4 separate regions of the Mus musculus genome follow, and all the other regions are reported to be linked to region 4. The links are microRNA targets in miRTarBase. Many come from high-throughput screens and were not tested one by one. Region 4 holds a microRNA gene; each other region holds the end of a gene's coding sequence.

Region 1 (3,084 bases), not on the chromosome of region 4:
CATGTGTCCCCTGCTGGCCACGCTCCCTCCTTCTCAAGGAGTCCTGTGTCCAGCATTGGGTCCTGAGGTTTCTCTTCCTCTCTCCACAGGTTCTTTCAAAGCATAACTTTGGCCCCATCACCACCGACATCCGAGAGGGACAAGTGTTCTACTATGCCGAAGACTACCACCAGCAATACCTGAGCAAGAACCCAGACGGCTACTGTGGCCTCGGGGGTACTGGAGTTTCCTGCCCGATGGCCATTAAAAAATAATTTCTCTCCACGAAGCTGTCCCTGAAGGTTCCATCAACACCATGATTGCTGGATGGAGTGGCACTGCTGTGATTCACATCTGTCACTTTATGCAAAGCACACACACCACACGGACCTTTACATGAATCTGGTTGTTATTGGGGTTTGATTTCCAGAGAGTAGCATGACAAGGTGATACACTGTAATCTGCCTTCTGATCAGTCCGGGTGGGGACAAATCATGACATTTTAGTGGATTGTTTGGATCTGCTCAGACTGGAAGGATGCTGAGGGTTCTGAAGCAGGGGGATGGCCAGGAGAGCACAGGGTACTGGGACCCCTTGGTCTGTGCTGACATACCTCACCCACTTCCCTGCCCTCGGGTGCCCAATTCATTAGTGTCTACAGATCCCATGAATCATTTGCCAAATCGCTTTGCTCTGCTGGCTCTAGATGTGTACTAGGGGTTTCTCTCCCCCTCCATCCTCTCTGCAGAGAAAAGACAGGAGTGACCTTAATGAATTCTAACATTCTGCTTACAGCTATGATAAAGCTTGTTCTAATAAAAATCTGCAGTTTGGTAATAGCAACCGCCTGCTGTGAGTCTGTCTTCCCTTGTTCGGGAAGGATATTTAGAAGTATCGCAAAGCCAAGTTAAGAGCTCAAGAAGAAACAACTACAACAAGCCCTCCTGTTTATTTTTCCCTAAATGGAAAATATGATTAAAATTTTTGGCAAGTGGGCACACCCCTGGCTCTCTATGGCTTTAGTAATGAATAGTTGTTTTCAGGGCGCCTGTAACATGTCACATCGAGGACATTGGTACTTAGAGCAGATACCTTCAGTCTTTGCCCTTGAGAAGAAGAACATTCTCTTTCAGACAAGAAACCATAGCCATATAAACAAATGAATAGGTAAAATAACTTCAGGTCCTGATGCAGGACAGAGAGATGCATAAGGAAGATGCTGGCTCTGGGACCACGGAGCTGTGCGCAGGGTCATCTCAGCTGGTGAGTTCACCACAGTCCCCATAAGGTGGCAAATAGCAAGGTGGAATGGCTTACCAAATAAAGCAATCTGCCAGTGAGTGTGTGCCAGGAAAACACACACACACACACACACACACACACACACACACAGCTCAGAAGCAATCACCCTGTATGCTTCAGCAAAAAGAAGAAAAGGGTTTCTAGACCAGAAATACAAGTGGTCATGGCAGAATTGGAGAAACTGAAAGGCCCTCCAGACTTGAGTTTGCAGAACAGGTCTCTGTGAGGAACTGTCCAAGGAGGGCAGAGATGGCTCAGGGAGGATCATTAAGGAACCTGAGACCTGGCTTTAACTGAATAGCAGCACTAGGCCGTTCAGACTCCTCTTTTCACTTGGGAACAAGTGAGCAGAGGGTTATTACCATGTGAGGGCACAAATCTATGCAAGGGTCGGATGCAAGTTCCTGGCTCCATTGTAGAGATGTAAAGGGAGGCAGTTTAGGGACAGATCTGCATGCAGATGCCATGGGACCATACAAGGTCATGTGGGAGAGGATGAAGGTGCTGACGTCTAAGGAGTGGGGCCTCCACTGGTGCCCAGGGATGTCTGGTTACAGGAGAAGCAGATGAGCTCGGAAAGTGACACTTGAGGTTGTCTGTGAAAGAAAGGTGTCCCTCGGGGAGAAGGAACAGGGCTCTCAAATCATTTCAGGGAGCACTCCTTGGGCCTTGCCCTAAGCCTTCCACAGAACGGAACCTAGGATTTCCCTCGGCGACTCTGTGCTGGGTACACAAGCCTAGTCCAGGCACTTCTAGAGTCGCAGACTGCTGATAATGCTCAGAAGTCCCAGGAGGACCATTGGATAGAGTCACAAAGACAAGCAGGGCCTTAATTTAGCTCTGTTGCATGGGACCTGGGATATCTGACTTAAATCTGAGGTGTTTCCCCACTCCATGGAGACACCACTACATTGACCATGTCTCTAGGTCTATAAGCATGACACTTTAACATCTACCTTACATACACATGTTGGCATGACCTGCTCCCCGCCACCCAACTCAGTCTCATTGCCTTGACCTTCTATCTATACCCTCACCACTCTTGGCCTTCTCCTGAGAGTGTGCTTATCCATACATAGATAAATATAGAGTTAACATGCTCCAATCACCGTCTTTATTGGACTCTAACATTCTAGGCCACCACCCACCTCCCCTCTATACCACAGGGCCCACAACAATTGTTCTCATCCTTCCCATAGCTGTTAGGCCTGTTCATCCCAACTGGCTCATTTCTCCTTACAGAAACTGCAGATAAACTCACCTGTTGTCCACCCTTCCTGTGCCTCATGATAGCCTGGTGCTTCCTGAGGCAGCTCTCCATGCCTAATCTAGAATCTATAAGCAACAGGTATCTTTTAAAATTTAATAATTTAATTTTTGGAACAGGATCTCACTGTGTAGCCCTGGCTGGCCTGGAACTCGTGTCAACTAGCTGGCCTCAAACTCACAGACATCTGCCTACCTCTTCTGGAATTAAAGGCAGTGTTCCACCAATACCCAGCTGAAAAGCTGTCATTTTTTTTTTAATTTGGTTAAGATTTTATGTGTATGTAGGTGCACCATGCGCGTATCTTGAAGGTATTCACATGTGCCAAGACTTCTTTTGTGGACCTGAATATCATCAGCTATTGTGCCTCGTGTTCACCAGAAAGGGATGCATACTTTGTTTTTGCTGGTGGAATAATCTATGGATTACAGCAGAGTCCGTGAGTATAGTCCGGGCCTTCTTTACCAGCCAGTGGTCTACCTGCCTGCTTCCTCTGGTAAGAGAGATGTTCAACTCTCCCGCTTTCCCTATGGGCT
Region 2 (3,084 bases), not on the chromosome of region 4:
GATGTGCTGTTTCTGTTTGCAGAGCCAGGCTAAAGAGCCAGGTTAGCAGCAGGTGTTGGGTTTAGGGCTGCCGGCCTGCGGGAGGCTGAGTAAGAGATGATTGGCCTTCCCGGCAGCAGGGCGTGGAGACACTTGCCTCATTTCTGTGGTGGTGTCTCCAGCTGCCTGCTACTGAAGGCTCCAGGCCCAACTCGAGGCTTGTGTGTTGATCCTCTCTGCACTTCTTGCAGGTCTGTCCAGGGCTTCGGTGGCTGGAGAAGCTGAGCTGATGTCAGCATTCCCTCAAGTTCCTGTGAGCTCCTGTGCGCATCCCTCCACAGCAACAGACTGTCAAAAGAACTTTCTCATGAAAACGCTCAGCCAGGAAGAAACACTGGAGACCAAAGCTCAGCAATGCTTAACTAACTGCCTGTTCCCCGCTTTCAAATTTTACATCAAGTTTTTCGTCTGCTATTAAAGTGTTTGGTCTGGTTCTGCACAGAACATCTGGGTATTTATTTGGGTCACAGCCAGAGACATTCCTATGGCTTGAGGAAACCAAGCCAGTGGTCTCTGCCCAGTGGCATTCTGAGTAGAGCCCCTCTACATGGAAAAGAGCAGAATGTGGCAGACACCTCCCCACGTTAATGTCTATGCCACATGTTCTGTGGTTCCATGTCAGGCTCCTGTGAGGGCCCCTTCCTTCACAGCCAGTTCTAAGACAGGTATGGCAAACAGACCAGGGAGGCAGCCGCTGAGCTGCCTGTCACCTGCCACCCTGTCTCTGCTCCTGCATGCTCTGCATCTGCTGCCAGTTCCCAGTGCAGAGGCAGTCTGCTGATCGTCTCCATACACAGCATTTGCAGACCTACAAACACCACGTCCTTCCTTCACTGTTTGGAACCCACGACTTACGGGGACATCAACAAGTCGCTGCAGGCTTGGACAGTGTGCGAATCCATTTTAGACATGCTTCTTTCTCTGGGTGCGTTAGCTTTGAGGGCCTGGCATGTTCTGCTCCTTGGGCTGTGGAGTCCTGTGCTACCAAAGCCTCTGCAGAGACCATCTGTCACCTTTCAGGTTCACAACATGGCACTGCTCTGGACTGGGTCAAGGGCAGAGGGAAGAGCTGTGGGTTGGGGTTTGTCATACTGGAAAGGTTTTGGTTCCTTTGTTGTTCAGGGGTTGTTCTTGTTTTTGAGACAGGGCTTCCCTGTGTAGCTGGCTGTCCTGGAACTTGCTCTGTAGACCAGGCTGGCCTTGAACTCAGAGAACTGCCTACCTCTGTCTCCTGAGTGCTGGGATTAAAGGCATGCCCACTACCACCTTGCTAAGATGCTGTTTTGTAATGCTTTAAGGTCATGGTGCAGTCAGTGTGACTGTGGTCCTATTGGCTTTTGTGTCCCCCATGCCACAGCTTGCTCAGGTGTGCCCTTATGTCTCAGCCTTGGCCTCAGACAGGGAGTTCAAGCCTCCATCCATCCTTATTCAGGGGAAGAACATGACCATCAGGGATGGGCGCTCCCCCAGAGTGTTCAGTGGCTTCTTATCATCTCAAGAGGAATCTGCCCTGCTGGGTTCCTAACCAGCCATCACCAGAGCCAAGACAAGACCTAGAATTAGGCACAGGGTCCACCCGGACTGTCACCCATTCTCTGTGCCACAGAGACTTGTCTGCATGCTTCACTCATTAGGGGCTCTGCCTCTTCTGAGGAGCTGGAGCCTTGAGAGCCTCAGTGTGGCCTCCTTTTGGTCCTTTGGGAATTGAAGAGCCAGGCACCGCTTGAGGCCCCTCTGCCCGGAAGCAGGTCTGTCTCTCCGTATGCTTGGAACTTTGCCGACCAGGTCTCTCAGACCAAGGGATCGCCAGGCTTCTTTTTGTGTCAGGGTCTCACTCTGCAGCCCTGGCTGGCTTCAAACTCTCTGATCCACCCTTTCCGATATATATCAAGTGCTGGGAAGAAAGGCACTTGCTCCAGGCTTTCTGGGTTTGATGGGGAACATTCATGGATGAGGACTATAACTGGGTAAAGAGAGGGAAGAGCCCGTTTTGTTACCTGAAGAGGAAGACTGAGATTAAAAATGGAAATGAAGGAGTTAGTGAACTGAGAAAATTCAACTGAGGTAATTTCCAAGGGTGCCATAGTCCTGCTTCAAGCATTGAGTTGTTACACTTGACAAAGCAGCAGGACAGAGATCAGGTGGCGGGGGGCGGGGGGGGGGTCCTCCTTCAGGCAAGAGGGTCTGTAGGTACTTCCTGCTGTCAGTGGACTTCAGCCAGCCACAGAGGTGAGGGGAGGTGACACACCCAATTGTGTGATCAGATTATATATATATCTTATAAAGTAGGTGCCCAGAGAAAGCTTAATATTTTTTTTAAAGATTTATTTATTTATTTATTATATGTAAGTACACTGTAGCTGTCTTCAGACACTCCAGAAGAGGGCGTCAGATCTTGTTACAGATGGTTGTGAGCCACCATGTGGTTGCTGGGATTTGAACTCGGGACCTTCGGAAGAGCAGTCGGGTGCTCTTACCCACTGAGCCATCTCACGAGCCCGAGAAAGCTTAATATTAAACTCACATCTCTCATTGACAATTCTAGAATGACAGGAACTCACCAACCACAATAACCATGGCCAAGGGAGTGAGGATGCCTTGGGGACTCACTCCTTTCACAGTTAGTGTTGGCCAGCTTTTCAGGCTGGCCGACCACACCTGTCCTGACGCCCTGCATGCTGAAGGCAGGCTGGAGGGCCCACAGTAGCTCTGCCCCATCAGAGCCTCAACTTGGAACAGTTCTGAGCACAGACCTACGCCTCTTACCAAATCCCTGTGTGCTTATGGGGGGGAGGGGGGGCATACTGCTGACCATGGGTCAGGAGTCCACACTTCCCCCTAAAGTGAGAATCTGTGGAAGCATACTCAATGTCACAAGATCCAGTCCTGTACATGGGAATGACAGTCACCACCACTGAGTTCTAGCTCAATGCAAGTGCTCTCAGGTACTGTCATTGCTCAGGCCCGGCCACCTGCTGGGCAGCATCCTACCCCTCACTACTACTCTGGAGGCTGAATTCTAGCCAGAGCTGCTGAGGCTCAGTG
Region 3 (3,084 bases), not on the chromosome of region 4:
TGTTCTAGAAAAAGACAAAAGAAACATCAGACACTATAGGAGGGAAGGTCTGTGGCTGAAAGAAACTTCCCTCTATAATCACTTCATGCTCCTTGAAACTTTTGCAAAACTACTTGAGATAAAATGAATTATCTAGGGGCTGGAGAGATGGCTCAGAGTACTGGCTGCTCTTCCAGAGGATCTAAGTTCAATTTCCAGCAACTACATGGCAGTTAGCAACCATCTATAAAGGGATCTGATGCCCTCTTCTAACATGCAGGCATATATGCAGACAGAGCACTTGTACAATAAATAAATAATTTAAAAATGATTTCTCTACCTATATGTTGGTTTCCAAAGGTAGTTATATTCTTACAAATGTAATCAACTTCCTCCCTCAAGGTGCTACCCTGTGTGTCATCTGCCAAGACAGAAGCTCCTTACGTCAAACAATTGTCCGCTTAGAGTTAGAGGATGAGTGGCAGTTCCGCCTCCGGGATGAGTTTCAAACTGCTAACAGCAGTGATGACAAGCCTCTCTACTTTCTTACTGGACGCCATGTTTGAGTTTTTGAAGAGACCAAAAACAACAAACATACCCCTAAGGGGGTGGGACAAACAATTATTGGGGATTTTTTTCCTTTAAAGTACAATCACTGTGGAGCAAAGTGCAACATATTTATCTCTTCTCCAAAGAACTCCCCAAATGTGACCAAGGTCTTTGGGGGCACTGTCCTCCTTCAGTTCTGCTGACAGGACCCAGGTTCAGGTCAATGCTACAGTGGGCAGTTATGCAGTTACTTAGGGTGTGCTCTGCCTGTGGGAGCCCGAGGATGTATTCTGGAGAACAAATGTGAAGTCCACATTGTTTTTTCTACCATACTATGTTGGGGGACAGGGGACTGTCAGCATTAACCAGCCTGAATGTGTTACATGAGATACACCACTGGTGTGGAATGACTTGAAGATTAACATTTGAGGCCTGAACCCTCAGTTTCTCTTCAGATCTGTACTTTGGTACAGTATTACTCAGGGGTCTGAAATGATAGAATGTAGAAGATATTTGTATTTAAAAAGAAGTAGCTTGTCTTTTTCTGTGCAGTGTTAGTTTAAATTTTATAATCTTATATGTATTGAAACCTTTGGCAAAATTTCCACAGGAGTTAAAAGTTTACTATTTAAACTGAACAACAACAACAACAACAAAAAAGTCAGTAACTGCAGAGCAGACATTGTGTGCATTTATGAAGGTTCTCTGAGCTGAACTCCTTTGTCTTTCCCACTTGCAGTCTTTAAGCATACAGTGATGCACTCTGCAGTTATGCCATACCACTGTGTTGGTTAAAAGTGAGCACCTGGAAACCCACATATCACGCTGAGATTCTAGTGTGGAGTCTTAACTATCTGGTTTCATCAGCTCAGGCTTAGCATCCTTCAACAACTCAGTGAGTAACTGCTGTGCTGCACTGACACATAAAAATGAGTGGGGCAGAAAACAGACCATAGACAAGTTTTCCTTATAATTTTATCAGTGACAATTTCCCCAAGTAAAGAAAATTCCATGAAGAGTCTTTTAGACTCATTGATGTGGACTCATTAAAGTTAGCAGGTAGTGTATGACTAATACCAACAGTAGGAGGAATAAGTTTCTATGTATTTCTAACCAAATATTTTAATCAGAAACATTTTGAGAAAATATTCTACAATAACCTATTGGAAGTTTACACTGAAATTGCTCTGGTTTGTGGATTTTTCTCAGCCCATGTGTATGATTTTTATCTCCAGTTAAAACAGTCACTTTTACTTGAATCTGTCTTAGGACCTGAGACTACTAAGAGCCCTAATGAGCCTGCATTGCTGGGAGTGTTAGGTGATGGATCTGGTTATCCAGGGATAACAAGAACTTTACAGCTAGTCAGAGGATGGGATGTATTAGAAGGAAATGCTCTGCAGATCTCTTGGTTTAACATAGCTACATATGATGTTTTAAATGTATTTTAAAAGGATAATTCCTTTTAACCCCATTTTTAATTGACCTTCAAAGAGGACCTTGCCTTATTAAAAATGCTTACTCCTTAGCTTTAGAACAGCAGCATTTCAGCAAAGAGGTACTTTCCAGGGAAGTCTGAGTTAGATAGGAATTAGATACGTGTTCTTCCTTTGCTGAACAGAACCAATGCAGGTAATACCAAGAAAGCCACTGTTTGTGCAATATTCCATTAACACTATGTAAGATGAATACTTGAAATAATTCCACAACAATTTTATGAGGGGCAGAGGCCTCTTAGGAGTGCTTACTGGTTTATTCTTTTTGAACTAAGATACTTTAATGCAAGTACTCCAGGTTAGGGCTACAATCTAGAAATTCAAGTGATCATGAACTGTAAATACTATTCAACTCTGTTCAAGAGAAATGCCAGAATAAAACCAAAAGGCCATCACTCCAATAGTTGAGAAAGCTCAATTTACCTGCCTCTTTGTCTCCAAAGCCTAACTTCATTAAGGCTTGGATCTTTTAAAATGACCTAAATCAGTATAATTCTTTAGAGAATGCTAGGTCCTCTTTAAGGATGAAATTGCACAAGCCCAGGCCACCATGACTTGTTAATTCATGTCTTGGTGTGTTTGATTTTACCTTCCATCCCTGAGGACACTAAGGTAGGACAAATAGATTCACTAAGACATTGAGGTAGGGCAAACCTGGTAACTTACCTGCAGACCTGTTGAACCTTGGCATGTGTGACAGTTCACACAGGTTAATATTGAATGTAAACTAAACTTAGAAATGCTGTAGTCGAGTTTTGGCTGTAATTCATGCAACTGCTTCTTATGATTGTTAGAAAGGGGCATCTGTGTTACTGTTACTGTAAAACTTTCTTCACCAAAACTTGGTGAATTTCACTCACTAGTCAGTCTACCTCACATTTTGTTTATGACTCTAAGCTGTCTTAACTTATGTCTACAGTATGTTCTTGTTCTTTCATTTGGTGAATGTATTAAAATTCCCTCCCATTCCTCAGCTTTGAAAAGCTTGTTTTCTTTAAACCAAATTTTCCGAATGTTAAAAGGTGAAATGAGTTCCATAATTGACAATGTCTAAGAAAAG
Region 4 (3,084 bases):
GCTTCTGGGGGCGGAGAGGGGGAGGGAGGTGCTGGGCTCAGATGGAGATGACCAATGTGGTCTCTAGCTATTCCACCACATCCGGGCACAGCCTAAGAACCGACGAGATTAACCATGGCCAGTCAAGCCTACAGAGAGGCTAAGCAGTGTGGGACACCCCTCAGCCTTCTCACCTGGGCCACCCATCATAGATAGGATCACCAAAGGGGCCCTTCACCACTCTCTTCCCACGCCTCTTCTGCCTTGCTGCCTCTGCAGGGACCATCCTTGAGGGTATTTGACCTGCCTGTTAGTGAAAGGGTCCAGGCTTGAGGCAGGGGATGGCACCCCAGTGGCTCAGATTTCCTTCTGGGGCTTGGAAGATTAGTGTTTCCTATCATCACAGGCCTGCCCACCACGGGCCAGGCCACACCAGCGCTCTGGGAACCTTGTTCCTAAGCTCCTCTGCCCCATAGACTCCGGATCTGGGGCCACAATGTGGACTTAGACCTAACGGCTTCATTTTGACCCAGGAGTTTTGGACTTGTCCCTTGACCCTTGGCAGAGAGGAAAGGAGGCGTGACAGTAGACGCTAGGGCTCATGCAGAGAGCAAAAGCTGCCTGGCTTCCTAGGTCTGGGCACAGGGCTTCCCTCCACATGCTGGGCAAACCGGTCTGAGGCCTGAAAGAAGCAGGTCTTTTTCCCTTCTGAGAGCAGAGCTACCTGAGACCAGAGACTGAGCCTCAGTTTCTTCAGCGATCTCTGCTGGCCTCTGGAAGTGCTAGTCGTTAGGGACAGACTGGCCATGAGTGTCCAGCCAGGGTCTGCACTTGCGCCCGGCTGGCCACCATGGGGAGTTAGGCTGCCTCCCACAAGGAAAGACTGTTTTGAGCCTCCCCCAGCAAGGTCAGCTCAGGCCACCCTGAGAAGAGGGAGGGACAGAACCAGAGCCCACGAGGGGGGGGCTCTTCCTGCCTAAGGGGAAGAGGGTACATGCCCAAGGCTACTACTTAGCAGGAGTCCTGGTGATTCTACTACGCTAGAGTTGAGTGGACAGAGGCTGGGTCTCAGCCAGGTGGACACTGGAAGCACCCTGGACCTTGGTGGCCTTTAACAAATGACACCCTTCCCCCATTGTGGCCATTCCTGTGCTCAGTGCCCCGTGCTTTCTCTCTCTTCTCCCCGTTTCCCCGTCTCCCCGTCTCCCCTTACTCTCTCTGTGATTTTGTTTAAATGTCCCTGGCCCATTTTGAGAAAATCCCAGTCTATTAATACCCTCAGCACTGAGCGGCCTGTGTCGGGGGTGGGGGGTGGGGCTCACCATGTCCCCAGCTCTCCTTCTTCCTCTAGGAGGGACCTCAAGAAGCCACAACATCCAGCTCTACGCCAAGACTGACTGACGGCCTTTGGGGTGAGGTAGTAGGTTGTATGGTTTTGGGCTCTGCCCCGCTCTGCGGTAACTATACAATCTACTGTCTTTCCTGAAGTGGCCGCAATATCTGCAGTGGATACAACGGCGGCCCTGGCTGGGGAGACTGAGGGAGGGACAGGGGGGTGATAACTACCATGCAAAAAGAGCCTGACAGAGACCTTGGATAGTCCCTTGACCTCTCTGGGCTGTTACTCATCTGTATAAGGGTTGGGGCATAGCGATGAAAACAGACAGCATTTTCAGGGCACCTTCTCTCCCTGGCCCACACTGAAGGGGCCTTCCTGCCCCTGGCCCCATATCAGACCTGTGCTCACAGGTCTCCATGAAAAGAGGGTCTGGACTAGACCTTCAACTATGTTCCAGAGTTGCCCAGGCTTTCCAGCGCAGGGTCAGGCCTCTGACGAGCAAGCGTCTCTTCCGAGAAGAAATTGAAAAGGAGCCATTCTTAGCACACCCATGAGTACAGCCTGCAGATGGACCGTGTAGGCCACTGTCCCCTGTCCCTGGGGCAATGGGTTCAGACACCAGAGGCTTCCTCAATCTGTTTGGTAGGCACAGGCCTTTCTCACTGAACCTCTGTCTCCACTTCCCCCTCCCCCACCCCGCCCTGTGCCCTATGGCTCTAGTGGCCTGTGGCCAGGGTGGGTGGGGAGCGGCTGGGCCTCCTCCAGAACACGGACACCGCAGGGTGAGGTAGTAGGTTGTGTGGTTTCAGGGCAGTGATGTTGCCCCTCCGAAGATAACTATACAACCTACTGCCTTCCCTGAGGCGCCCAGGGACACAGCTACATGGAGGCCCCCGCTCAGCAAGCTAAATGGAGCCACAGATTGGGTGGGGGCTATGACGTGGGACCTGGGTATAAATAAAGGATGTTCTGTCATGAACTTACAACTGGTCTTTGGTCATTTTGGAAATACGGAGACTGGCCGTAGAGGACATGAGATCGCCAACCACACATTGACACGTTTGCATGCATGAAACATTGCCAGCAAGAGCTGCTCTGGGTAGTGAACAGTACCCTCCCCTCATCTTCCATGTGCCCCTTAGTGGCCCAAGCCCTGGACACCCAAGCCCCTCCACATGAGTGGAACAACAGACCCTATGACTCCAAGTCTCAGAGCACAGTACTGGCTTCCAGTGTCCCTCAGCCTGTGGTCCTAACCAGATCTGAGAAATTCCTGGCCTATTGTCCCTTCGTGCCTGCCTCCCTTGGGACAGTATTGGGACGGCTGTGGATGTAGCTTTCTAATCTTGGGCCAAATGGTCATATACCCTTCTTCCAGGGACCCCAAGCCTTCATTCAGGTGGTGGTAGTGGGGTGAGGGTCAGCCCTCAGCTAGTGTTAGCTTAGGAAGGTAAAGTCCTAGTCTTACCTGACCAGACACCAAAGGCCTCCCTCGTGGGTGGATACCTTGACCCTGATGTCCTGGCCTTCTCCCCATAATGAATCCCCCGAGTCCCAGCTCCCGTCCTGAACCCAATCTGCCTCAACTCTGCATATCCACACACCTCCATTGACGCACCTAGGCAGACCAAACACCCCTAGAGCCCCTCTATATCCACCCTCAGCTACCAGACCTCTCAAACTTAGCCAGCCATTTCCAAAGATCTGATACTGTGCTAGCCCCAGGGTTGAGAGTACCCAGAGGGACTCTCTGAGTACTCTCTGAG

What was found. The annotated mature microRNA mmu-let-7b-5p reads UGAGGUAGUAGGUUGUGUGGUU and lies in region 4 at 2,102-2,123, shown strand. An mRNA with a match to its seed (bases 2 to 7 or 8) in the 3' UTR can be bound and repressed. Matches are read on the target gene's strand: a 7mer-m8 pairs with bases 2 to 8, a 7mer-A1 pairs with bases 2 to 7 and ends in A, and an 8mer does both.
Region 1: miRTarBase lists Msra as a target of mmu-let-7b-5p. Seed matches in the 3' UTR shown: 7mer-A1 at 590-596.
Region 2: miRTarBase lists Nup214 as a target of mmu-let-7b-5p. Seed matches in the 3' UTR shown: 7mer-m8 at 1,258-1,264.
Region 3: miRTarBase lists Greb1l as a target of mmu-let-7b-5p. Seed matches in the 3' UTR shown: 8mer at 2,893-2,900.

What each region holds. Positions count from the first base shown.
Region 1 is chr14:64,120,359-64,123,442 of GRCm38, reverse strand. Msra (methionine sulfoxide reductase A) reads left to right here. Exons shown (of 6, transcript NM_001253712.1): 6 at 90-822. The coding sequence ends at 254. The region is part of intron 1 of 9630015K15Rik (RIKEN cDNA 9630015K15 gene); the gene reads right to left. Among named protein-coding and RNA genes, the nearest start is that of 9630015K15Rik, 5.6 kb to the right of the region's middle.
Region 2 is chr2:32,051,889-32,054,972 of GRCm38, forward strand. It overlaps Nup214 (nucleoporin 214), which reads left to right. Exons shown (of 36, transcript NM_172268.2): 36 at 231-2,087. The coding sequence ends at 264. It also overlaps a transcript of Fam78a not described here. Among named protein-coding and RNA genes, the nearest start is that of Mir7674, 2.5 kb to the left of the region's middle.
Region 3 is chr18:10,559,939-10,563,022 of GRCm38, forward strand. Greb1l (growth regulation by estrogen in breast cancer-like) reads left to right here. Exons shown (of 33, transcript NM_001083628.1): 33 at 382-3,003. The coding sequence ends at 545. Among named protein-coding and RNA genes, the nearest start is that of Esco1, 49 kb to the right of the region's middle.
Region 4 is chr15:85,705,224-85,708,307 of GRCm38, forward strand. Mirlet7b (microRNA let7b) reads left to right here and starts at 2,096; the gene lies at 2,096-2,180. Lncppara (long noncoding RNA near Ppara) reads left to right here. Exons shown (of 2, transcript NR_110483.1): 2 at 1,331-2,301. Mirlet7c-2 (microRNA let7c-2) reads left to right here and starts at 1,380; the gene lies at 1,380-1,474.